4 linked regions of the Caenorhabditis elegans genome follow. The protein of the gene in region 3 purifies or fractionates together with the protein of the main gene of each other region. This does not show direct contact. Each region holds a gene or a part of one and is shown on either strand. Other genes may lie near its edges. The genes, in order: csq-1, eef-1B.2, nxf-1 and ssb-1.

The links.
Region 1: the proteins of nxf-1 (region 3) and csq-1 purify together in Caenorhabditis elegans (affinity purification with mass spectrometry, with the first as the bait; one study listed by BioGRID). This does not show direct contact.
Region 2: the proteins of nxf-1 (region 3) and eef-1B.2 purify together in Caenorhabditis elegans (affinity purification with mass spectrometry, with the first as the bait; one study listed by BioGRID). This does not show direct contact.
Region 4: the proteins of nxf-1 (region 3) and ssb-1 purify together in Caenorhabditis elegans (affinity purification with mass spectrometry, with the first as the bait; one study listed by BioGRID). This does not show direct contact.

What each region holds. Positions count from the first base shown.
Region 1 is NC_003284.9:14,682,729-14,689,574, forward strand, and holds csq-1 (Calsequestrin), read left to right. Parts: upstream 1-2,148; 5' UTR 2,149-2,149; coding exon 2,150-2,284; intron 2,285-3,232; coding exon 3,233-3,352; intron 3,353-3,398; coding exon 3,399-3,483; intron 3,484-4,114; coding exon 4,115-4,218; intron 4,219-4,271; coding exon 4,272-4,383; intron 4,384-4,432; coding exon 4,433-4,506; intron 4,507-4,678; coding exon 4,679-4,858; intron 4,859-4,905; coding exon 4,906-5,145; intron 5,146-5,192; coding exon 5,193-5,319; intron 5,320-5,363; coding exon 5,364-5,440; 3' UTR 5,441-5,594; downstream 5,595-6,846. Other genes in the region: slt-1 (Slit homolog 1 protein), read left to right, coding at 1-58, 117-181, 227-299.
Region 2 is NC_003282.8:15,035,454-15,040,068, reverse strand, and holds eef-1B.2 (putative elongation factor 1-beta/1-delta 2), read right to left. Parts: upstream 2,739-4,615; 5' UTR 2,721-2,738; coding exon 2,579-2,720; intron 2,529-2,578; coding exon 2,448-2,528; intron 2,400-2,447; coding exon 1,300-2,399; 3' UTR 1,231-1,299; downstream 1-1,230. Other genes in the region: fcd-2 (FANCD2), read right to left, coding at 3,128-3,328, 4,388-4,615. UniProt on the Caenorhabditis elegans protein: EF-1-beta and EF-1-delta stimulate the exchange of GDP bound to EF-1-alpha to GTP.
Region 3 is NC_003283.11:14,411,149-14,417,996, reverse strand, and holds nxf-1 (Nuclear RNA export factor 1), read left to right. Parts: upstream 1-2,982; 5' UTR 2,983-2,984; coding exon 2,985-3,111; intron 3,112-3,159; coding exon 3,160-3,551; intron 3,552-3,600; coding exon 3,601-3,780; intron 3,781-3,830; coding exon 3,831-3,917; intron 3,918-3,965; coding exon 3,966-4,075; intron 4,076-4,181; coding exon 4,182-4,218; intron 4,219-4,272; coding exon 4,273-4,341; intron 4,342-4,397; coding exon 4,398-4,591; intron 4,592-4,640; coding exon 4,641-4,931; intron 4,932-4,984; coding exon 4,985-5,264; intron 5,265-5,313; coding exon 5,314-5,376; 3' UTR 5,377-6,101; coding exon of another isoform or gene 6,102-6,189; 3' UTR 6,190-6,348; downstream 6,349-6,848. Other genes in the region: nxf-2 (Nuclear RNA export factor 2), read left to right, coding at 202-513, 561-647, 696-842, 893-955, 1,002-1,133, 1,185-1,249, 1,296-1,707; C15H11.11 (Cytochrome b-c1 complex subunit 10), read right to left, coding at 1,851-1,989, 2,035-2,183; gnrr-2 (G-protein coupled receptors family 1 profile domain-containing protein), read right to left, coding at 6,102-6,189, 6,356-6,593, 6,642-6,762, 6,813-6,848.
Region 4 is NC_003279.8:4,631,775-4,636,780, forward strand, and holds ssb-1 (Lupus La protein), read left to right. Parts: upstream 1-2,328; 5' UTR 2,329-2,335; coding exon 2,336-2,468; intron 2,469-2,515; coding exon 2,516-2,724; intron 2,725-2,779; coding exon 2,780-3,628; 3' UTR 3,629-3,841; downstream 3,842-5,006. Other genes in the region: ubr-4 (UBR-type domain-containing protein), read right to left, coding at 1-85, 822-1,338, 1,456-1,573; acbp-1 (Acyl-CoA-binding protein homolog 1), read right to left, coding at 4,041-4,289, 4,556-4,567.

The sequences.
Region 1 (6,846 bases), on a different chromosome or scaffold from region 3:
TAGATCGGTTGACAGAATCAAGATAGCAGAGTGTAATGGTTACTGTGGAGGCGAACAGGTAAATCGAAATCTTCATGTTATTCTGATTCTCAAATAAAGCTGTTATTTTCTTTCAGAATTGTTGCACTGCTGTGAAGAAAAAGCAGAGAAAAGTGAAAATGATATGCAAAAATGGAACAACGTATGTTAGAGAATTCCTAGCTCAAACAAATACTTATTTTTCCAGAAAAATCTCCACTGTTCACATTATTCGTCAGTGCCAATGTGAACCTACAAAAAGTGTTCTCTCTGAAAAGTGACAACTTTAAAGTGAAAACAATTATCCCTTGAACTCCTAGATCCTCGATTTTTGACATGTCATATTCCAATTGTAATATTATGTTGTTACTTGTGGGGTTGCTTGAATAGTCACTTCAACCATACCTAGGCATAAAAATAAGGCCAGTTTTCAATTTTCAAGAAATGAACAACTTTTTGGAGTACACAGCAATTTCACAAGGACCACTATATTTTATCAATTTACGATTCGAATTTTTATATTTTATTTTTCAATTTCCAAATCCAGATTCTCAACGATACCACATAAAACGTTTGCTTTACCAGATTCTTCCTTGCCACGTCAATTCACTAATTCCACAAACGAAATGCAAATCCCATAATACTACCCCGATCGCTGATTTACTGATCAATCCTTGAAAAATCAAGTTTTTGTGTGGTGTGTTGGCTTGAGTGATCGCAGACGCAAATAAATTCGGATAAATGTGCCCCCCTACCAAGCGGGTAGAGGGTGATATGTTTGCCGATTTATTGAGCAAGATGAGGAGTAGGGCGAATGGCAGTATTAGTTAGCGGTACCGATTGATTTCATTTCGCAAATTTCTACGTCGAAGATGAAAAATTATTTCGAGCAGTGACGTCAGTCGGTTGGTTATGATGAAGACTGCCGTTTGGTTTTTGAAAGCCGAATGCTATAGATATTCTTTGCCAGATGTGTGGGCAGATGAGGAACACTTTTTTTTTGCGAAAAGTTGATTTAAAAACAAATGTTTCGGTGCAAAAAAATGTTGGCACCGAAATATGAGCTGTTACTTGGAAATCATGTTACCTTTGTTCTGTTCTGTTAATTCCCTCTAATTTGAAGATATCCTTCAGTATAACAATTTTTCCGTGTTCGAATTATAATTGAAACATATTTTTAAAACAATTTTATTCCGAAATTTAGAGACACTTCGAAACTAAATATTTAATCCAGAACTCAGTTAATTAATTTACAGTAGCTGAACCCCGAAAAGTTGTAACTCAAACACTTATGTTTCTTTACTATTGTTACACTATTTTCGATCCTCAATAACATTTTAAAGTGGTAATTCCTAAGCCTAAATATGAGAATAAAGTGTTTTTGGTGGTAAACTTTTGATGGATTCTATGTAACGCCCTAAACGGATTTACTGTGGTTCGACGCGAGTCTCAGTGAATGTCGGCTGCGCGATTTTATTAAGTGTATTTAAATTTTCAAAGTAGACAGTGTGAGGAATGATATCATGTTTCATGTGTTTTTCTCCTATGCAAACATCTACTTGAATGCTTGTACGGTTATTTTCAAGTTGCCAGCTATGAAAAAAGTTGGAAAGTTGCATGTTCCCCTCACGTTATTGATTTATTAGAGATATGAACTCTTCCAATTGCCCCCACAAACACTGTTGCCTCACCTCCAATCTCGCCCACACTCCTTCAGCTTCTTCATCTTCTTTCACGTAGTTTTTGTTTTCATCTCGACAAATATATAGTGTAAAGTCAATCAGTCACCGGAGGAAAAGGCGCCTCAGGAGCTTCCTGCTGTGCTCGTTTCGCTACCTCGGTATCAAGCTTATTCTCAGCTCCCCCCTTTACAACGAAAGCTGGCGGGGCCCCGCGGATGGCAGTGGAATTGTGTAAGAATAGCGATCAAAGAGAAGAACATCAGTGCCAATGCAGCAGCCGCCAACAGCTAGCGCGGACCTTTTCCACACACTATACCCTTTGACTTTTCTATCCTTGTTTCGTGTCACTTTTTTGTCTTCTTTTTTTGAAAAGATCTCCATGCACATCCTTCCTTCCTTTTATCTCTCGCTTTTTTCTACAGCAAAAAATAAGTTGCGTTGTCTTTAGAATGACTTGGATCAAACTTGCTAGCCTTGCGCTAGTGGTTGTGCTTGCAAGTGCAGGCATCTCCAAAAACGAAGACTTGGAATGCATGTTCTTAGGATATCCAGATCTCGAATACGACGGATTCGACAGAACTGAGGTGAGTTATTTGGATATAGGATTTATAATGTCTATTTTGTCCATTCTGCAAATCTTTTCTGAAAATCTGCAAAACTACCGATTTTGTTTTTTTTTTTACAAATCAAAAATGAATGTACATAGAAATAAATGAGAATTTTGTCAATTTTGTCAATTTTAGTTGGCAAGAGTTGGCGAGAATTGCCAGTGAACTTTCAGGCTTTTTTTCTTTTTCCTTCTTAGGCTTTTTTTCCGTTCAAATTTGCCAATAAAAATATTATTTTAGAGTCAATCAACTTTTTAGAATCCAAAATTACCAAAATACCAAAACTGAACAAGTTTCTAGATTTTTCAACAATTTATCCACTAACTAGAAGGTATAGTTAATAGTTATTTGGTTAGAAGCGATTTTTTTAAAAAATTTTTTTGAAACATTATTCATTAGTATTATCGAAAAAATACGATCGCACACATTTCTCATAATTTACTTTTGATCTACCTGTTGTCTCCGCCCCCAATCTTGTCGCCGTTGTTATTTTGTTGTGGCTGTCTTGTCGAAGGAAGGGGAGGAGCCTCGTCAACAAGGTAGATCAAAAATAAATTATGAGAAAATTGTGCGATCGTATTTTTCGATAATATTTGAGTTTAAAATTATCAATAATTAAATAAAAACAACTTCTAAGCAGACTATAGATTCCTATAGTTAGTTCCTATAGTTCAAAACTAAAAAATTTTGAGAACAATTGTTCTCGACTATCTTGATCATCATTTTTCATTTAATTCTTTAACTTAAATTACTCAATAACAAGACATTAATTTAACTTCACAATGTCAGTAAACAATTGCGTCATTCTAGCAAAACTTGACCTATAACAAAATTTTCGACATCCGGGGTTTTCGAACCAACCTATCATATTACACTGCAACAGATATTCATCTTCACTCAACAAAAAAAAATCAATAATTGCAGGTTCTGACCGAGAAGAACTTCAACAGAACTGTTTTCGCTGAAGACACCAAATCGGTAGTGTTCTTCAACGACGTGGAAGAGGACGACTCAGAGCTTGACCAGTATGAGTGCTTCCTTCAGGTGAAATTCAAAATTTGATAGTTTATTTTTAATTTATGAATTTTAGTTGTCTGCTCAAATTATGACCAAGAGAGGATACAACTTTTACACTGTCAACACCACCAAAGAACATCGCTTGAGGAAGCAGGAAGGTAAACATTTGCTGTTCCACAAAAACTTAAAAAATATTCCATATTTTTGTGTCATGTTTTCAAAAAATTCAATATTTGTATTACATGGTTATAATTATTGAAACGTACGTATTGCTAAAAATTAATTGTTCTATGCCAAAAGTAAAAATAGAAATATGATGTTTTACCTCATATTTTTCCATTTCTTGAAAGTTGGTACATATCTTTTTTGGCAAGATTGTACATTTCTTTTTCGTAAGTTGGTGCATATCTCATTTATATGTACCCACATTGTAATGCTACGAAATTTTGAAATGTCCGTTTAAAGTCATGAATTGATTTTTTAAAGTGGGTCTCGTCACGATCTCATTCATAGTGGCTGCTACAGGTGTCAAATTTTACTTTTTTTGTTAATTTGATTTATAAAATATTTTTATAAAAGTTCAGAATTTGAAATTCACGGAAAATTTAACATTTAGCACGTAGTGTGACGTTTCCGAGAATGGACCATAATCGAATATTATTTTTACCAATTAATCATTTTATGTTGTCGAAGCTTCACAAAACTTGTGGAAACTTAATTTAAATAAAAAAACATTTAAGAATTGGTTAACCTTCTAATTCTTCATTAATTCTTGATTCAAAATTTCAGAAGTTGAAAAGGGAGAGGACACTATTCACGTGTACAAGGATGGTTACAAGATCGAGTACAATGGTGTTCGTGATCCAGAAACTTTTGTTTCATGGCTGATGGATGTACGTTATTTATTAAGTTTTTGCTAATTCCATAAATTATTTTTCAATTTAAGATCCCAGACGATCCAGTGACTATTATCAATGATGAACATGACTTGGAAGAGTTTGAAAATATGGATGACGAATGTGTCAGAATTATTGGATACTTTGAGCCAGGATCAGTTGGTACGGAATGTGAACAAGCTGTCATGCATAAATTTTAAAAGAATTTCAGCTCTCAAGGAGTTCGAGGAAGCCGCTGAAGACTTTATGGGAGAGATCGAATTCTTCGCAGTTGTGACATCTAAAGTAAGTGTTGAGAGCATTTTTTTTCAAAAATGTATTATGAAAAAGTATAATAGATGTTGATTTTTCATTTTTGAATTATTATATGTACCCCAATTTTCACGCTTAAATATCAAATATGGTACTTGAAAAAAAATAACTTAAAATCGATATTCTTTAATAAATGTATTTTTAGTGGGCACGCAAAGTCGGACTAAAGAGAGTCGGAGAGGTCCAAATGCGCAGACCATTTGAGGAAGATCCACTTTTCGCCCCAACTTCCGCTGATACCGAGGAAGAATTCGAAGACTGGGTTGAGAAGAACAAGGAGCCAGTTATGCAAAAACTCACCCTTGACAATTACTTCAACCTTTGGGTATGTAAAGTTTATATCCTTGCTAGAAAAAAATAATCGTGCTCCAGAGAGATCCCGAAGAGGAGGAGAGAATGATCTTGGCATTCGTTGACGAGGAAACCCGTGAGGGAAGAGCCATGAAGAGGCTCCTTGACAAGATCGCCGATGAGAACTCCGAGCACGCTGGAACCCTGGAAATCATTCTTGTCGACCCTGATGAGTTCCCACTTATGGTTGATGTGTGGGAGGATATGTTCGGAATCGATATTGAGGAAGGACCTCAAATCGGACTTATTGATATTTCTGAGGTAGCAGACTCTATTTTATTTGTCAATTAATAGAATGTATATTTCAGAAAGAAGGAATCTGGTTCGATATGTCTCAAGTGAATTTGGATGATCCAAAGAAACACTCCGACTCCAACTTCGAGGCTCTCCAATCATGGATCGATCAGATTCTTTCCGGATCTATTTCTCTTGATGGTGAATAACTTTTTCAACTAAAAATCTATAAAAAATAATTTCAGATGATGATGATGATGAGCCAGAGCCACCAGCACCACCACCAACTCCAAAGGGAAAGAAGTCTAGAAAGGAGCTGTAAAAAAATCACGTTTTTGATCTACCTATTCTTATTTTTCACGTATTGTTATCACACCTTAAACACTTCTTTTCATGACATTTTAATGGTTGCCGCTTGGTAGTTTCTTCTAGTTAGACACAATGTTTTCGTTCAAAATAAACTTTTTTGGAATTTCAATACGGCATTGTTTTATGCTACAAGTGACCCTAATATATAATAAAGAACAAATGAAATAATTAAATGTTTGTTGTAAAAAGCGTTCAACTCTGCAGTGATTTAGGATGTTTTGCCTCGGATGCCAAGGATCTATATATTTTTGGTTTTAGCATCGTATTTAGTAAAATTTTTTATTGTTTTGTAATATGCCCACACATATATATATATATGTATATATATGAATTTCCGGAAATTTTATCTTGTAGGTCACATGTCTAGTTGCTCATTGCAAAACGTTTTTTCCTGTCCAAGCTCATAATTTTCAAAACTCCATCGTCCAAAATTCTCCACTACTTTTTTCAATATTGTTCCACAAAAACCAGTCAGATGATTGACAGTCCTCATTTTCATTGAGTTTTTGTTCTGACCTTAGACATACATACATACACACATTGCACTCAGAAAATAGCAAAAATGCCCGTTTTAAATGCAATGAGAACCAGAAACAGTGAGGGTGAGTGTCAGCAAACTACGTTGCGAAGCAAAGGCAATACGATAATTACCATTGTGTATGTATTGGTATGTCTTTCTTTCAAATTTCCGTTAGATGAAAACAATTATGGGCTACCTTGAGACAAAAAGGCAACACATGGAACTGTGGAGTACTTGGTGAAGTTGAGTTGGAAATTGCAAGACAGTTTGTCACCAATGAAAAATGTGTAACAATTTTATGTGAAAGCCTTCCATTTTTGTTTAATATCATATCTAGCTGACTGGTGAGTATGTACATGTTGGGTAAGTCCACAGTACTTCCTTAATACTTGACAACTGTTGTGCGGCGCAAGGTGTTCATATCAGTGTTTATAACATTAATTTCTGACTATTTTGACAGATGTGCTTAATTTTGAATTTAAATACCAAATAAATACATTAAAATAACGTGTTTCACAAGTTTTTATACTATTTTTTCAATTGCATATATTTAAATAGTGATTTATAAAACATGGCTTTTCATGGACCGTCTCAATTTTCTTGAATTATTTTAAAAATCTGTTACCTGGAATATATATATATATATATTCCTAGTGTATATCAGGGCTGTGCGGCAACCAAGATTTTCGGCAACCTGCAATTACCGAAGTTACCGAACCCTAAAAATTTTGGCAACCGGCAGTTGCCAAAGTTTTTTCAAGGTTTTTTTTCGTTGAAATTATATTTTTGAAGTATGGTCGTTTTATTGTTTACAGTGAAATGCTAGCATTTTTCACAAC
Region 2 (4,615 bases), on a different chromosome or scaffold from region 3:
AATTTGAGAAAATTAAATAATTTTATATGCTACGAAAAATGCGGCATATTAAGCGAATAACTAATTCACACCAACGAGAAAAATAATCGATACTTTCACGCGCGAAAGCAACTGGGAAATCTCGACCCATCGGACAATAAAATGAGATTTCCGCGAATTTTATCGATTTTTCAACGAAATTTCAACGCAAAATCATATTTCCCATGTAACAGGAAATTATTTTCACATTTTTCTCGCAAAAAAATGATGAAAAACGGCTGAAAACGCGAAATTTCTTTGTGAAATTGAATCACGCGAAAAATGACGCTTTGCGCGAAACTTGTAACCGTTGCTGACGCGTTTCTCGTGCGCTTGGCGTGTTTTTCGTGCATTTGAATTTTTTTGGCGGGAAATGGGGAAAAACTCACGGCGGAATCGATTTTGTGTTCCATTTGAGCAGCATTTTTGCTCTAAATTTATATTTTTTGAGTTGAATTCTGTGATTTTAATATTCAGTACTGCACCAGAGTTCACAAACCGGAGGAAATTAAATTTATTCAACGAAGAACTGACGCAATTTGCACCTAATGAACGTTTATTTAACCGATGAAAACATTTAATATTGTCTATAAATGGAGAAAAACACCGAATAAACCAATTATTCACAAGGTTGAAATACAATAGATAGAAATAATGGATATAAGAACAACTGATTAGGCCTTTAGATCTTGTTGAAGGCAACAATATCGACGGATTGGACGTGATCCTCGAAGTCTCCGGTGATCTTCTCGATGAGATCATCGACCGAAACCTTGAGATCCTCGATGACGGTGATGATCTGGAGTTTCTTGATTCCGTATCCGATTGGGATCAGCTTGGCACCTCCCCAGACAAGTCCGTCCATCTCGATGGATCTGACGAGCTTCTCCATCTCTCCGAGATCAGTCTCGTCATCCCATGGCTTTACGTCAAGGATGACCGAGGACTTGGCGATTGGGCCGGCCTTTGTGGCCTTCTTTGCGGCGTAGGCAGCAAGGCGCTCTTCAACGACCTTCTTCTTCTCCTCGTCCTCTTCCTCGTCTTCGGATCCGAAAAGATCGAAGTCGTCGTCTCCGGCAGCTTCCTCTTTAGCAGCGGCTGGTGCGGCAGCTGGAGCAGCGACGGAGCTGGTCTGAAAACAAAAAATTAGTATTAGAAAATGGAAAATATAAAATTAAGGCTTTTGGACCTCGGAAACTATAACTTCGCAACTTTTTCAACGATTATTTTTTCATAACAATAACATACAACAAATAAATTAACAGAAGACGAGCAGATCTTTCAGGTGAGCACCAGTGGAAGATTATTGGCGACAATCTCCTCAGCAATCCGATTTCTTAGCTCTTCATGGATTCTGGAGCACATTTCACGTCCCATCGGAAGCTCGAGGCCGTGCCATATAATTCTGTAGATCCTATTTGGGAGTGGCGGATCTGGGCAGATGGATCGAAGATATTCAATCTCAGAAATCGCAGCTAAACAATTTCCAGCGATCGATTTTACGAGCTCCACGGCGAGCTTCTCTCCTTCGCTCTCACCGATTTTGAACAAAATCGACAGATCCTGGGCGTAGAAGGGCCTATAGTAGTTGAACTTGAACTTTCCACTCCTCGGAGGCTCAGCCAATTGAAAATCGCGCAGAGACTTCTGCTGATTATCACACTTTTTGAAGGAAAATGTCAATCCTTCACGATTATTGAACCCTTTTTTAGTCTCTTTATAACCGGAAGATCTATAAGATGCGAATCTATCAGTATCGAACCTCTCCAGACTGTCGAGAATGAAGCCATTCTCGGCGCCCAGATAGATTGCCTGCCAGGAATCTTTTTTGTGACTTGGGAGCTCGTTCATCCACGGATCAGAGACCTTCTCGAGCCCAGACTGTCCAATGGCAAGACTGAGAAGAAATACTGCTTGGCTATCCATAATACTTCTGAGGGAAGCAAAAATTCCGGAGAGCAAAATTTTACTCTTTCTCAGATTGGTTTTACCGCCAGGGTGTGGAAAATTCATGATAACCGTGTTAAAGATGTTGCTCCAGCGAACCGGCAGATCTGTCGCGTCAACTCCAAAACATAGGATCACATTGCTCAAAGCGTCTAGAGCGTTTAACGTGTCATGAGCGTTGTATTTTTTCAAAAACTGTTCTTTCGAATCAAAAACAGTTGCAAAGTATACAGTTTCCGGATCTGACGACGCAATGGCAAGGGAAAACGAGAGATTTCCGTCGCCAAGAATCAAAACGTGACGACGATGATTTACCTGTCCTTGGCGAAGAGTCGAGAGTTGAAGTTGAAGCTCAGCGACAAGACTGGCCAAGTCGTCGACCTTCTTGGCAAGAGCAGAGTGCTCTTCGCGAAGCTTGGAGACGTCCTCTCCTCCTGAAACAGAAATGCGTTAAATTAGCTTTCAGAAAATGCCAAATTTACCTTCTTTGTTCAAAGCCTTATCAGCGGCATGCTTGGCATTGTGGATAGCTCCCTTGAGCTCGCTCTTTCCTCCCTTGCATCCTAAAAGACTTGAATATTAAACATTTTATATAAAAAATAATAATAAATACCGTGGTCACCACCAGAAGAAGTTCCTGGCTTAACGTCGGAGAAGACACGCTTCCCTCCATAGAACAATTGTTCTCCAAGAGCAGCATCCAAATGATGAGCGTTGAAGTGCTTGACCTCAGAGAGAAGACCCTCGACAGACATTGTTTTACCTGAAAATTGAATAATAAACTATGCTGGCACATTAAATAAAGTTATAAATAAATTTTCCGAGCGTCAAAACAAATAAAAAACCGAACAACAGCGCTAGAAATACTAGAAAACTGCAAAAATTACCCAAAATTTCTTCACATGCAACACGGCGCGGCGAGACCCATGCGCTGTGAATCTCCATGCGCCTTTAAAGTTTAATGGAGGGAAGTTCAAAATTTGAAGCGAAATCTATTTTTATCGTGATTTAAATCATGATTTAATGATTTTCCATGGTTTCTCAGCTTCTAAATGCAATTTCTGAACGAAAAACAACAAATTTACTTGGAAAAAATAAAATAAAGTTAAAAATACAGAGAAAACCCGTTTAAAAACGCGAAAAATTAAAATATTTTAAAATTTCATTCGGAATCCGAGTCAATTTCACTGGCACGCTGATCCATAATAATATCTCCATCAATACTTCGACTTTTGACGAGTCCAACAGTGAATGCATTCAAACATTCATTTTTCACCATTGCCGAATGAATTACTCGAAGGCAATTCTCACTTTCTGCACGGAGTTCCGGGAATTTTTTGAGAAGAAGCACGCATTTGTTCGTCTGAAAATTGAGATTTTTTGTTTTTTTTTGAGAAAAAAATTGCAGTGGAGGTAACACGTTTTCAGGATCTGGAAAATTTTTTCGATTTTTTCGGGCAAAAATAAAATTTTTTGGGTTTTTTTTAGCCAAAAATGGATTTTTTTTTGATAAAAAACTGTTTTTTTCGGACAAAATTGGATTTTTTTTGGACAAAAATAATTTTTTCTTGGTTTTTTTAAAAGTTTTTTTGAGCATAATTGCAAAATGGTTTTTTTGTGGGGGTTTTGTGGCTAAAAATGGGTTTTTTGGCCAAAATTGGATTTTTTTCTTGGATTTCTGGTTTTTTTTAATCAAAAAATGATTTTTTTTTTGGATTTGTTTTGGGCAAAAAAAGATTATTTCTTCCTTTTTCTAAAGGTTTTTTTTCTAGTTTTTTGGTCAAAAATTGATTTTTAAGGATTTTTTGGTTTTTTTTTTTTTTAATTTGGATTTTTATTGTATTTCTGGTTTTTTAAACCAAAAATTAATTTTTTTTTGGATTTGGTTTGGGAAAAATTAATTTTTTTGGGTAAAAAGGGATATTTTTGGTTTTTTTTAGGTTTTTTGGGTAAAAAATGAATTTTTATGGTTATTTTTTGCAAAAATTGTTTTTCGGTCCAAAATGGTTTTTTTTTCCGGTCTGTTCTGGTTCAAAATTAATTTTTTTTCTTGGTTTTTGGACAAAAACTCACTTCTCGTATTTTACAAAAAAAAATTTTTAAAGCAAAATGTGGTTTTTAATGGGTTTCATATTCTGAAAAGTTCATTTTAAAAAAATCGAAATTCGAATTTTTTTTTGTTTTTGAAGATTTTTTTCTACAAATTTCAATTTTTGTTATTTTTCGCCATCACAAATTAAAAAAAAAAGAATTTTTATTTCAATTTCGGACCAAAAAAAAATCAAATTTCTCTTTAAAAAATCCAAAAATTAAGAAGCCTGTTTTTTTGTTTTTTGCCCCGAAACACTGAAAAAAAAAATCCATTTTCCTCTGAAAATCCAAATCCTGAGAACGTGGAATTTTCCATCGCAAAAAAAAGAACCTTTGCAAAAGTTCCAATACTCTGCAAGACACGATTTCCCTGTTGAACAGCCGATAAAATCTTCTCAACTCTTCTACAAATCGTATCGAAATTGGTTCCCTTCGTAATATTATCCATTAAAAATATGAATGAGCTCTTTTTAGAAACAGTAATCAGAAATTGTTTTCCCTCTTTAATAGCCGACGTCAAAACCGCCGTAGTTCGGATTTTATTGATTCTAAGGAGAAG
Region 3 (6,848 bases):
TGAGGATTGATTTTTTAGCTAAAAAATAAAAAATAAATATTTGGGCTAAATTAAAAAATTTAGATGATTTCTGCAAAGGATGAGGAGGTCTCGCATGGATTGACACACCTTGCGACTACGGTAGCTGTAGATTTACGAAGTGATTTTCTTGTCTTCAAATCGACTTCAATTTTTCAAACTAAATGCTCACTTTTTAAGATTATGCGTGGACAAAATCGGCGAGGCTATCGGAATATCGAAGGACGGCTCAGCCTTTCATCCCATTCATCGCATTCTTCACCACGCCAGACACATGTCACAAACTTGAGGCCAGCTGAAATCAAGGTTGTCCAAGATGTCGTGGATGGGTGTTATGTTGCGACTGACGATGTTCTTAACCTGTCGAACTTTTCAAAAAACACAGAATTTGTCGAAAGGGACATGTTGATGTGCCTCACGAAGACAAGAGTGATGTCGGTAGTTCTACAGCATATTGGGTACAAATATCCTCGCATTTCCGGAATCTCATTCTCGGTTTAGATTAATTTGTGAAAAAATAATTAATTCCATGTAATTTTCAGAATAATCGGCTCTGTCACTTGGACCATCTCTCCTCTCTCTCGAGCATATCCAAGTTTCTAAAATTCCTCGACTTGAGTCATAATCAGGTTTTAAAAGTTTTTGTATTCTTAAATTTCATAACTTTTTTTTCTAAGATTTCGTCAGGAGAAGAATTGAAGAAGTTAGGAACGATTCCAGTAGAAACTGTGTTTTTCGAGGGAAATCCAGTCTGCGAGAAGTTTGTGCAATGTGCCGAGTATGCCAACTTTATTCAAAAGACATTCCCAAAATGTTCAAATTTGGTAATTCACGAATATCCTAACAATTATTTCAATTTCTATCTAAATTGTAGGATGGAATGGAAGTCGAACCAAAACCAGATCACAATAGAATCGAGCAGATAATTCCATTCAGGGTGATACAGTATATTTCTACATTCCCGAATCATCTAATTATTTTAGAATGGATACTATGGCAGTGATGAAGTTCGTACTCTTGTCGAAGAATTTATCATCACATATTACAAAATCTACGATGGCGCAGATGGACAGCAGACAAGGAAGCAACTTCTGGATGCGTACGACACAAATAACGTGCTGATTCTTGCATTTTTTCAGTAGTAAATATAAACATATATTTTTCAGTCAACATTCACGCATACAGTTGTCTGCTTGTGGGACCCAATTAAATTTGTCATGTATCCGGACAGGTACCGTCTGAAGTCTTAAGGTTTTAATAATTATTTATATTTCAAGTGAGAGCTATCGAATGTACCTGAGAACTTCGCACAATGTTCTGAATCAGGAATATTTTGCCGCAAATCGGGCCTCCAGAATATCACACGGTGCAATGGATATCGTAGTTGCACTTTCGAGACTTCCTGCCACAATTCATCTGATGGATACATTCGTAGTTGACGTGTTCCTTGTTTCGGCAACACTTCTCGGATTCACATTACATGGAACATTTCGTGACGGACCATCTGCGATAAAGCCCGAGAACACTGAGGAACATGATAATTATTTTACGAGAACATTCATGGTTGCTCCAAGAGGCGAAGGAAAAGTCGCCATTGTTTCCGATCAGCTGTTCATTAGCTCGATGTCAAAAAGACGCGGCGATCAGTACCGCATGCTAGTGGAGACAGCAACGGACATTGACCAGTGAAAATTATATATTTTCATACATTTAAACGGCATCCTATTTGTATTTTTATGTCTAGTTTCGGATCATATCTTGTTACCAACACCTAGCATGTTTTTTTTTGTCTCAACATTTTACAGTTATTTGTTAATCTTCATTTTTAAAAATTATTTGTATGGAACAATGTCTAATCGGTCTTTGTAGCTATCAATTTTCAAATTGACCTGATCAAAAGTGGCAGCACCAAACCAAGCAGCTGCGAATCCAATTGAAGCACTCGCTAGGTAGATCGCGATGATTCTTTTTCTGAAACAATTCCATTTTCAAGAGACTTTTCGTGGAAATACCTACCCCGGTTTCCTCAAACCGGGAAATACGGGAACACGGGAGAATGTGAATTCGGCTGAAGTTCCGATGTCTGGCAACATCTTCCGACGTTCAAAACGCGTCGGAATAGGCGCAATATTGTCAAGACGCGAATCAGGGGTGTACTTCTTCATATTCTTTTAGTTGTAAGAACAATGGAGAGAGACGGATGTTTTGGAAATTGTTGGCTGCGAAGATGGGAAAAGAGTGGTGAGCAAACAAAAATTACGGGGAACAAAACGTTTTCTCGTATTTTTACTGCTATCTATATAGCCACTGAATTTGCAGAAATATGTATATTTTGTTGACAGGTGACAGTGAAATATTGAAAATTTACTCATATATTACAGTAGTATCTTTTTGCGGTTACTGTAGTCGGCGAAATTGAAAATCACTGTTCAACGATTAATATTTTGCATGATCGATTTTTATCATGCCTCTTAAGTGTTACTATCATTCTAACCGAGAATTCACGTCATTTTCTGACTCGCATGAAACATGTTTGCCTAAAACATTTTTTATTCTTGTTTATGTCGTCAAATTGGGGGCTCGTCTGCATTTTTGCGTAACGGTGTTTGCACAACCGATAAAAGTCACGAGATTTTTTTTTGCATAAATATGATTCAGTTTCACCAATTTTCGAATTGCCGTTCTTTGCTTAGTGTTCCAAATGTGAAATTATAGTTTTAAAATCTGATTCATTGAGTTTTCTGATTTCCGCAAAACTAAATTATCTCCCGGCTGGAATGAGGCAGCCGTCCCAGTTTCGCAACACTTTCGAAATGAGTAAAAATTTAACTTTTCCTTGTCTATTATAACTTTTCATGTTCAATATTGCTTTCTCTTGAATATCATATTTATTTGTGTTTCACCTACACCTTTAATTTAATTTTTCGATACCAGTTTTCCCTCGATGAAATACAAATCTTTCAGATATGAATCGCAAAGGGTTTGGAGGGCATCGTGACGCGAAGCAATTGTCACGTACAAAGAATCGTTTTGCTCGACTTGACCCAGACACTCAAAGCAGATATGAAGACGACGACGAGCCTGCCGTTCCAGGTAACGCTTAGATTTATTCATATCCTTGCCAACTTATTTTTGTTTCAGTTCGTGCAAGCCTTACTTCTGCCAGTAGCCGTGGTCGTGGAGGATCATCACGCGGTTTCGGACAATCGGCTGCATCCATCGCCAACACTGGAGTTCGTAATGCTGACATCGTCTACAAGTGCCGTGCTACTGGAGCTGCCAAGAAAGTTGATGCCAAGTGGCTGATCAAGCAGCTTAATCAAATAATCGAAAATTTCAAGCCACTTCTCTGGACTGATAACGCCCGTGGAGACTTTGAATGGTACGTCCGCGACGAGGACACTGCTTCAACTATCCGAGCCAATAATCGTCGTGTTGTCCACAAAGAAAGTGGCACACGCGTTGAGTTTTACACTTCCAAAGTTCCAGCCCCATGGATGAAACTGAAACGAGAGGAAATTGAGATCATTCATGTAAGCCTCAAAATTTATTTGTCAGGTAATCATTACAAACATTTTTCAGAGAGTAGTCGACAAACGTCACAACGCCGAGAATCGAGTATTGGATTTATCAAACTTCCACGAAGACGAAGAGTTCAAGGCAAAGGATATGATGATGAATTTGACGAAAGGAAATGTCATGCTCACAGTTCTCGATCACATTGATGATAAGTACGGAAACATTGTGGCTTTGTCGTTATCAGTGAGTCATGCTCTTAATATTCTCTATAAAAGTAATTTTTATCATTTCAGAACAATCGCATCCGTCATTTGGACTACGCTTCAGCTCTCGTGTCAATCGCTAAGTTCGTTATGGAGTTGGATTTGAGTCACAACCACGTTAGTTCAATAGATCTAGCTATTTTTTATTCAACTTTTGATTTACAGATTTCCACTGAAAAGGAGTTAGAGAAATTCGCCGGATTGCCAGTCGAAAGATTCTTCTTTGAAGGAAACCCAGTCGTCGAGTCATTCACACAGAGGGCAGCATATATCAGGTTACATTATCTGAATGATTTTCAGATTTTTTATTTAAATTTCATTGTGTTTTCCTCCTTGTTCCCTATTTTATTATGTTCATTAACCCCAAACCTACCACTTCAGCTATATTCATCAATCATTCCCGCGATGCAACATGCTGGTAAGTTATTTAACATTGAGCCAAGTTCGCATCTCGGAATGAAACTACTTTCAGGACGGAGTCGAAGTGCAGCCGCTGGTTGTTGGACCGGATCTCGATATTCATGACGCAATGCCATTCAGAGTAAGTTCCTGCGGATTTAAATCTCCCTAGAACCTTCGTTATTCTAATATTTTTAGGCTGGATATTACCCAAATCCACAGATCCGAGTTCTTGTCGAGCAATTTGTGACTTCATACTTTGATTTCTACGATGGACCGGATGGCCAGAGAACTAGAAGAAATCTCCACAATGCGTACGACGCTGATGCTTCAACATTCTCGTTGACAATCGAACATTTGCGTGGATCTTCTCATGCACGACACCACAATGAGTAAGGATATTTTAAAATGCACAATATTATTATATTTATTGATTTTCAGCGAGTGCTTTGCACAATACGCTGGTGTATCACACAACGTGCTGAAACAGGAGCGATTCGCTCGTCATAGAGCTTCTCGTTCAGCGCGTGGAGCCATGGATATTGCAGTTGCTCTCTCAAAACTGCCAACATCTAGCCATATGAGGGACACATTTATTGTCGACGTTTTTCTCCAATCAAATGATCTTCTCGGATTCACAGTTCAAGGACTATTCTGCGATGGTGATCTTACACAGACCCCTTCACCCAGTTTCTTCAGCAGATCATTTTTGGTGTCTCCGAGAGAGAATGAGTGGGTTACACTTTTGTATCTCAAACTTATACTCATGATTTTCGTATTTTCAGCTCAGTTGCAGTAATCTCTGATCAGCTTTTTATCACAGTTGCCTCGTTGGATCGATTAGAAAAGTTCAAGAAGCTGTACGATCAATCTATTGCAAATGGTGCGGCCGTGGAACAAGTTAGCGCCGTTCAAATTGCACAAATCGGAGTTAACGGAATGGGATTCGACGGAGCACCTGCACTACCGATTCGTGAGGAAATGATCAAAGCGATGTGCCAGTTCAGTGGAATGATTCCACCATTCAGTGAGAAATGTCTTGCAGACTGCGCTTGGAACTTTGACGTATGTTAATCATTTCTCAAAGCATTTGTTAAAATTGAAGCAATTTCAGTTCGCCTGTCAGAAGTTCAACGAAATAAAATCATCAGTTCCAGCAGAAGCGTTTGCTCATTAAATACTGTTCTATCGACATCTTCAGTATGCTTAGTTCTTCCTGATTTACTCTTTTTTTATCGATCTTTCGTTCAATTTTCTTCTGTTCGCCCTTTTTAGTTTTTAATATTTTTCTGCAATTTTTCATCCCTTCCCCTCTTTCGAACTAGCTCCTCCAGGTATTTCTACAATTCGCTTTAACGTTAACCTTTCTAAAATTAGGCCTCACAAATCTCAATTGGTTCGAGTTTCTTTCAACATGTTAATAGTCACTGGTGAATCGTATAGTGCTGTAAACGGAACTGCCAATGGTATTTAAATTTTTCATTAGTTAGAATTAGTTAACACGTCGAATGTCGCTCCCACTTCCATCTTTCACCGTCACTGAGCTTTTCACACTCTTTAACACTTCCTCCTAATTCAAAAAAGGAGTTCGCCGAAGTGTGTGTCCTGCAGAAGCTCTTTGGCACCATTTGGAGTGACGTTGGGCGTGTGTTCGTAGTTGAATTAAACTAAATTTAATATCTGTTGGCAGTCTCCATAACAGTTGCTATCTTCACTGACTTTTCTCTTTTTCGGAGGTCAATTAAAAAAAAAAAAAAACTAGGGATCTATGAGCGAATCGTCGGAAAACTTGCAAAAATTATCATTATTATTCTTTATTGTATTTTCAGAAAATGCATTATCAATTATTCTACACCTCTCGATGTGTTTATTGACCCGTATTTTGTCCCACTCCATTCCTCCTTAGTTTTGCAATAACTTGCAAATCTTCTTTGTTTTGGGAGCAGCCAATCGCTCTCTACACTTGAACAAGAATCGAATCCCCTGGCATCTGAAAATTAATCATATTGGTTTTCTAACTATTCATTCTCTAATTCTTCGTTTTTTCAATTTGCCCTGTCATCATTATCCCTCTATTTTATCTTATATTTCAAAAATTTGTCGTCTCATTCTTTTCTTTTTTTTATCAAATAAAATTATATAACCCAAAACCGAACCTTCCATAAATGAATGGATTAATGACACTGTTTAGAACCACCAATGAATTCAGAATATAGTTGGAATCCAGATTCTCACGATACGAATCCCAATGAAGAACCATCCACCAGGAGAGCAAATTGTATGGAAGCCAAGTGACAGCGTACGTCAAAATGAGCAAAAGTGTGATTCGGAGGCTCCGAACTTTTGCTCGACGAAACTTTTCCTGTCCACGAACTGTTCGAGTAGTTAGGGTGACTAAAAATAAATAATTTATTAAAAATTATGAGATGTGATTCTTCTTACCAAAACTCTCTTGATCCTTCTTGTGAAGAGCAGCTTTTCCTCCAGTCTTTGATGAGCTCATTTCAGAAAGATATGCAGCTGAAGAGCATTCGGTGTCCGTATTCAGAGTCTTGTAAATATCCTTGAAATATTTAATTACTTTACATTTTTCCTATCAAATAATAAACTCACTTTCAGAATTAGAACATAACAAGCAACGAGAATCAT
Region 4 (5,006 bases), on a different chromosome or scaffold from region 3:
GATGTGAAGTGAAGATTCGTAAAATGAAATGTCTTCTGAATCTTGAATTGCCGGTTTTTTATTTTCTTGGAGGCGTCTGGAATTACTTTGGAATTTTTTTAAGTGAACTGTTTGAATCTGAATCAATTTATTTTGAAAATGATCAGCCCTCGAACCATGGGTCTCGTTAGGTATTTGGAGCAGGCCTGCCGGTTTTTCGGTTTTCCAGTTTTTCGATTTTTCTCGAAAAAAAGAAAAAACTGAAAAATTTTCTCAAAAAAGTGAAATTTCTGTTTTTTTTGTATGAAAAAGTGCGTAAACTGTAATAAAAATATTGGATTCTGAATAAGAAATACCAATTTGGAAGTGTTTTCAGATTTTTTTTTTCGGTTTTGCCAAAAATGAAAATTTTCGATTTTTCGGTTTTGTTCAAAAAAAAAACGAAAAATCGAAAACAAATTCGGCGGCACCTGATTTTGAGGTAAAACCGTAATTTCAAACATTTTTTTGATTGGTTTCGCCCATTTTCAAGCATTTTTCTTCGTTTTTTAAAATAAAAGAATGCATTTGAAGTTGAAAAGTGAATAAGAATTTTTTAATTTGTTTATGAATTTCATTTCATCAACTTTGGCATAAAATTCATTAAAACGACGGAAAACTAAACAAAAAAAGACAAAAAGTGCTTGAAAATTGGTGAAACTAGTCAGAAATGTTTGAATTTTCGGTTTTGCCACCAAATACCTAACAAGATCAATAAAACTTGATGTACTTATTATTGTTGAAAACTTTCGGGGGCTTTAATTAATTTTTTTAATTTTTTCTTAAAATTTAAACTTCCATACTTCAAAATTCTCGCCAACGCTGCATAGTACAATTCGTTCGCGAATGTTTCATGATCCTTCATCTCGGAGAATAAATCAAAAATGCTCTTCTCAATAAGACCAGCCGCTTGTTTCGCCGAGTCTGGGCTTGAATCGATTTTCACAGAATCCCACTCCTGATTCATCATTTTACGCGCTGTTTCTTCAAGATCAGTGTTCCAAATAGCTGAGAAAAGTCGACGAGTCAATCCGAATTCAAGAGCGAATCCCTTGCAAATTGATGTGATCTGTTCGGAACATTTTGTAGAAGATGCAGTAATGGAATCCATATGCACAAAATTAGAAGAAGTCGAAGAAAACTTGGAAATATCGATTGATTCCATCATGATTCGCCATTGTGGTTCAATTGCACCTTCGGTTATAGATGTCATTATAGGCATCCAAACATCCGGAGAAAATGTTATTGGAGGTAGATTTACAAGTTTTTTGATTAAAATTCGCATTGCTTCGCAGATAATGTCGACATCGCTGCTTACATCTGGAAAAATAATAGATTCAGAACGGATCAGGGTTTTTTTTGTTGGAAAAAAAAGGATTTTTTTGGTGTTTTCCACCCAAAAAAGCATGTAAATAAAATCATTCTAGAATTCCTTACAATTTTCAACAACCCGTAGTCTGTAAATAATTGCTGCAATCGATTCTCCGTCGAAATCCTTTGCCGCATTTTCGGTGACATATCGGACAAGTCCGATTGCCGTTTCACGCGGATCCATTAATCGAAATTTCAATTAATTTTGTATTTTCTGGAAATAATTGATTAGAAAATCGATATAATATTTCAACAAAGCAAGATGTATTGCGTTAACTTTCGCAATCACGAGGCAATATAAATAAACAAAAAAGAAATACAGAGGTTTTCTTTGTTTTACAAAGTTTTATCAGCTGAAACTTTTGTTTCTCGAAATTTTCGTTATTTTATTATTATTTTTAATCGAAAATTCATCAAAATTTCCCATCTCAACAGAGGAAAAACAGAAGAACAACAAAAAAACGAACAAAAATAATAAATAACAAGTGGGCGGAGCATCAATTGCGTGCGCCGTTTTTGCATAAAGTGTGTGCCAGGGTTGCAAAAAATCATTTTCGAAACTTCAAACTCATTGCACACATTTTTTATATTTTCTTTTTATCGGTCGCTGTTATTCCTTTATTTTTTTACATTTTTTAAAAGAAAATCAAATTAAAATTAACATTTAATATTTAAATAATCAACTTTTGGAAAATATACTTCGAGAAAATCTCAAATTCCCTAGTTTTTAGGCGTTCTAGGCCTAATTTCACCTAGTTTGATTATGTTCAGTTTAATTATCGAGCAATCAACTTCAGGAATTAGAAAACACGTTAAATGAGTTTTCGCATTACTGAAAGTCGAAGTTTGAAGTAAGATTTGTTCCAAAATGTTACATGCCTTGTTTCTTCTGTTTCGTTTTCGTTTCTGTTGTATTCTCTGTTAATTTGTATTATTCAGCAAGAAAATGGGTGAGACCGCTGCCGCCGTTCACGACGATGCTGATCAGAAGATCATTAAGCAATTGGAGTATTACTTCGGAAACATCAATCTTCCAAGAGACAAGTTCCTCCAGGAAAAACTCAAGGAAGACGATGGATGTAAGTTGTTTTTCTTCAATTCTAAGATTGTTGATTTTTCATTTCAGGGGTCCCAATTACCACGATGCTCAATTTCAACCGCCTAGCCTCGATCAGCAAGGACACTGAAAAGATTGCCAACGCTGTCAAGAACTCTGGTTCGGGAATAATCAGCGTCTCCGAAGACAACCAGAAAATCCGCAGAAACGAAGAGAATCCAGTACCGGAGAACTCGTTGGAGTACTGGCAAAAAATCAAGCACAGAACTGTGTATATGGTACGTTTGTATCTTTCTGATTTTGTCTTTACATTATCAATTTCTCATTTTTCAGAAAGGATTCAGCACTGACACCCAATTGGACGACATTATTCAATGGGCCAATCAATTCGGAGAAACCGAGAACGTTCTTATGCGTCGCTTGAAGCCAGGAGACAGAACCTTCAAAGGAAGTGTGTTCATCACTTACAAAACTAGAGAGGAGGCCGAAGCCGCACAAAAGGCTGAAGTTAAGTTCGGAGAGACAGAGTTGACCAAGATGATGCAAGATGAGTATTGGACTCTGAAGAACAAAGAAACCAAGGAAGCTCGTGCTGCAAACAAGGCTGCCAAATCAGCTAAGAATACTTCTGAAGCGATTGAATCAGAAAAGGCTCAGCACGCTGTCCGTTACGAGAAAGGTCTCATTCTGGCCGTTGATGGACTTGGACCTGATTCAACTATTGACAGCATCAAGACTTTCTTCAAATTGCACGGATCTGTTGGATACGTTGCACATGAAAATGGAGGCAAAACAGCCGAAATCCGCTTCAACAATGACAGCGAAGGAGCGCAGAAGGCCTGGGACAACGCTGTTGCAGCTGGAACTGATGGAAAAGTCATTCTTCAAGAGGCTGAGCTCTCCGCACGAGTTTTGGATGGAGAAGAGGAGGAGAAATACTGGACAGAGTTCAATGCCAGAAAGAATCAGAGGCAAGGAGGTGGACGTGGAGGACGCGGTGGTCGTGGCGGACGAGGAGGCCGCGGTGGTCGTGGAGGTCGTGGTGGAAGAGGTGGACGCGGAGACCGCCGAGGTGATAAGCGGTCAGCAAACGATGAAGGTGCAGATGGATCTGATGAGCCAAAGGCTAAGCGTACTGTGTTCGCTGAGGATGGTGCTCCAGCTGCTGCTGCCGCCGAGTAATTTCATCTTTTGTTGAACAAACCCAAAAATCTCATTCTTTTTTTTTTACTTTTTCCTCCATTTTTTGTTGTTATCATTATTGTTGTGTTGTCCCCCCATTCATTAATCTTGAATACCCTCATTTTGTTGACTTCTCACTCTTTTTAACATCTCTTTTACTGTATTATTACCAATTTAAAAGAGTTGCGGTTTTGATTTATAAATTATTCGGATAAACCAAAGTTTTAGAGTAGCAGACCGGAAAAAAAGAAATTGCAGATCACTCGGAACAGGGAACATGGAAAATGCATTCTTCTGAAAGTTCAAGTTTGCTGATCAAATAGGCAACTTTATGTCTAAATTCTTCGGAATCACAGAATCTTCATTACAAAAATATAAATGTTAAAAAAACGTATTATCAAACAGAATTTATTTAGGCTCCGTACTTGGCGATGAGCTCCTCAACAAGAGCAACATAGGCCTTCTGAGCATCATCCTTTGCGAGTCCCTTCTTCTCATCCCAGGCAGACCACTTGGCTTTTCCCTTCAAATCGAACATTCCTGGCTTATCGGTGGTGTTGTCGCCGACGGTTCCTTGTTTGAACAGAGCATAGAGCTTGAGAAGCTCATCATTCGATGGGGAAGTCTTGAGGGTCTTAACGGTGGCAGCAGCGTCGTCGAACTGAAAATTGAAAAGACTTAGTGAGATTTTATTGGGAAAATATCAACATTTTGCTTCAAAAAATCTAAAGTAGTCTCAAATTCAGAAAAAAATCGCCAAATTATAAAAATGTCTCTTTTTCAATTTTGACTAAGTTCCCTCCGCTATTTTGAAGGGAATTTGCCAACATTGAAAAATCACGGTTTTACAATTATTGCTTTCTGTTGTTGTCATTATTCTGAATTTGAGATTATTTTGGATTTTCTACATCGGAATTTGAAGCTTACCGAGAGGGTCATTTTGAAGACGATGAGAAGAGCTTGTTGAAAGTTTGAACCTGAAAATTAAGAGATTTTAAAATAATGAAACATGAAAAATAATGATGAAAGGGCACTTTGTATATTGTATTTATCTTGACGTACACAACCACGCACTAGAAGTATACAGTCAGAAAAACGGACACTCTTATCATTTGTTATCACTAAAAAATCGTATCAATTTTTTGAGAATACAACAACGTTTCGTGGTCAATATCAAACTATGTGATCACACCATCACAGAAGAAGGACAAAATATGAAAATGTTTAGAAAAAAGAAAGAAATTTTGGCAATTTTCAGTTCTTTTCTTGAAAAAAATTATTAACTTTTGATAAGACACCGATGGTTTTAGCAAAAGCGTTATTACCTAATCGCCAGCAATTGTTAATTTAAAAATACGGTGCCGGGTCTCGAAGCGAC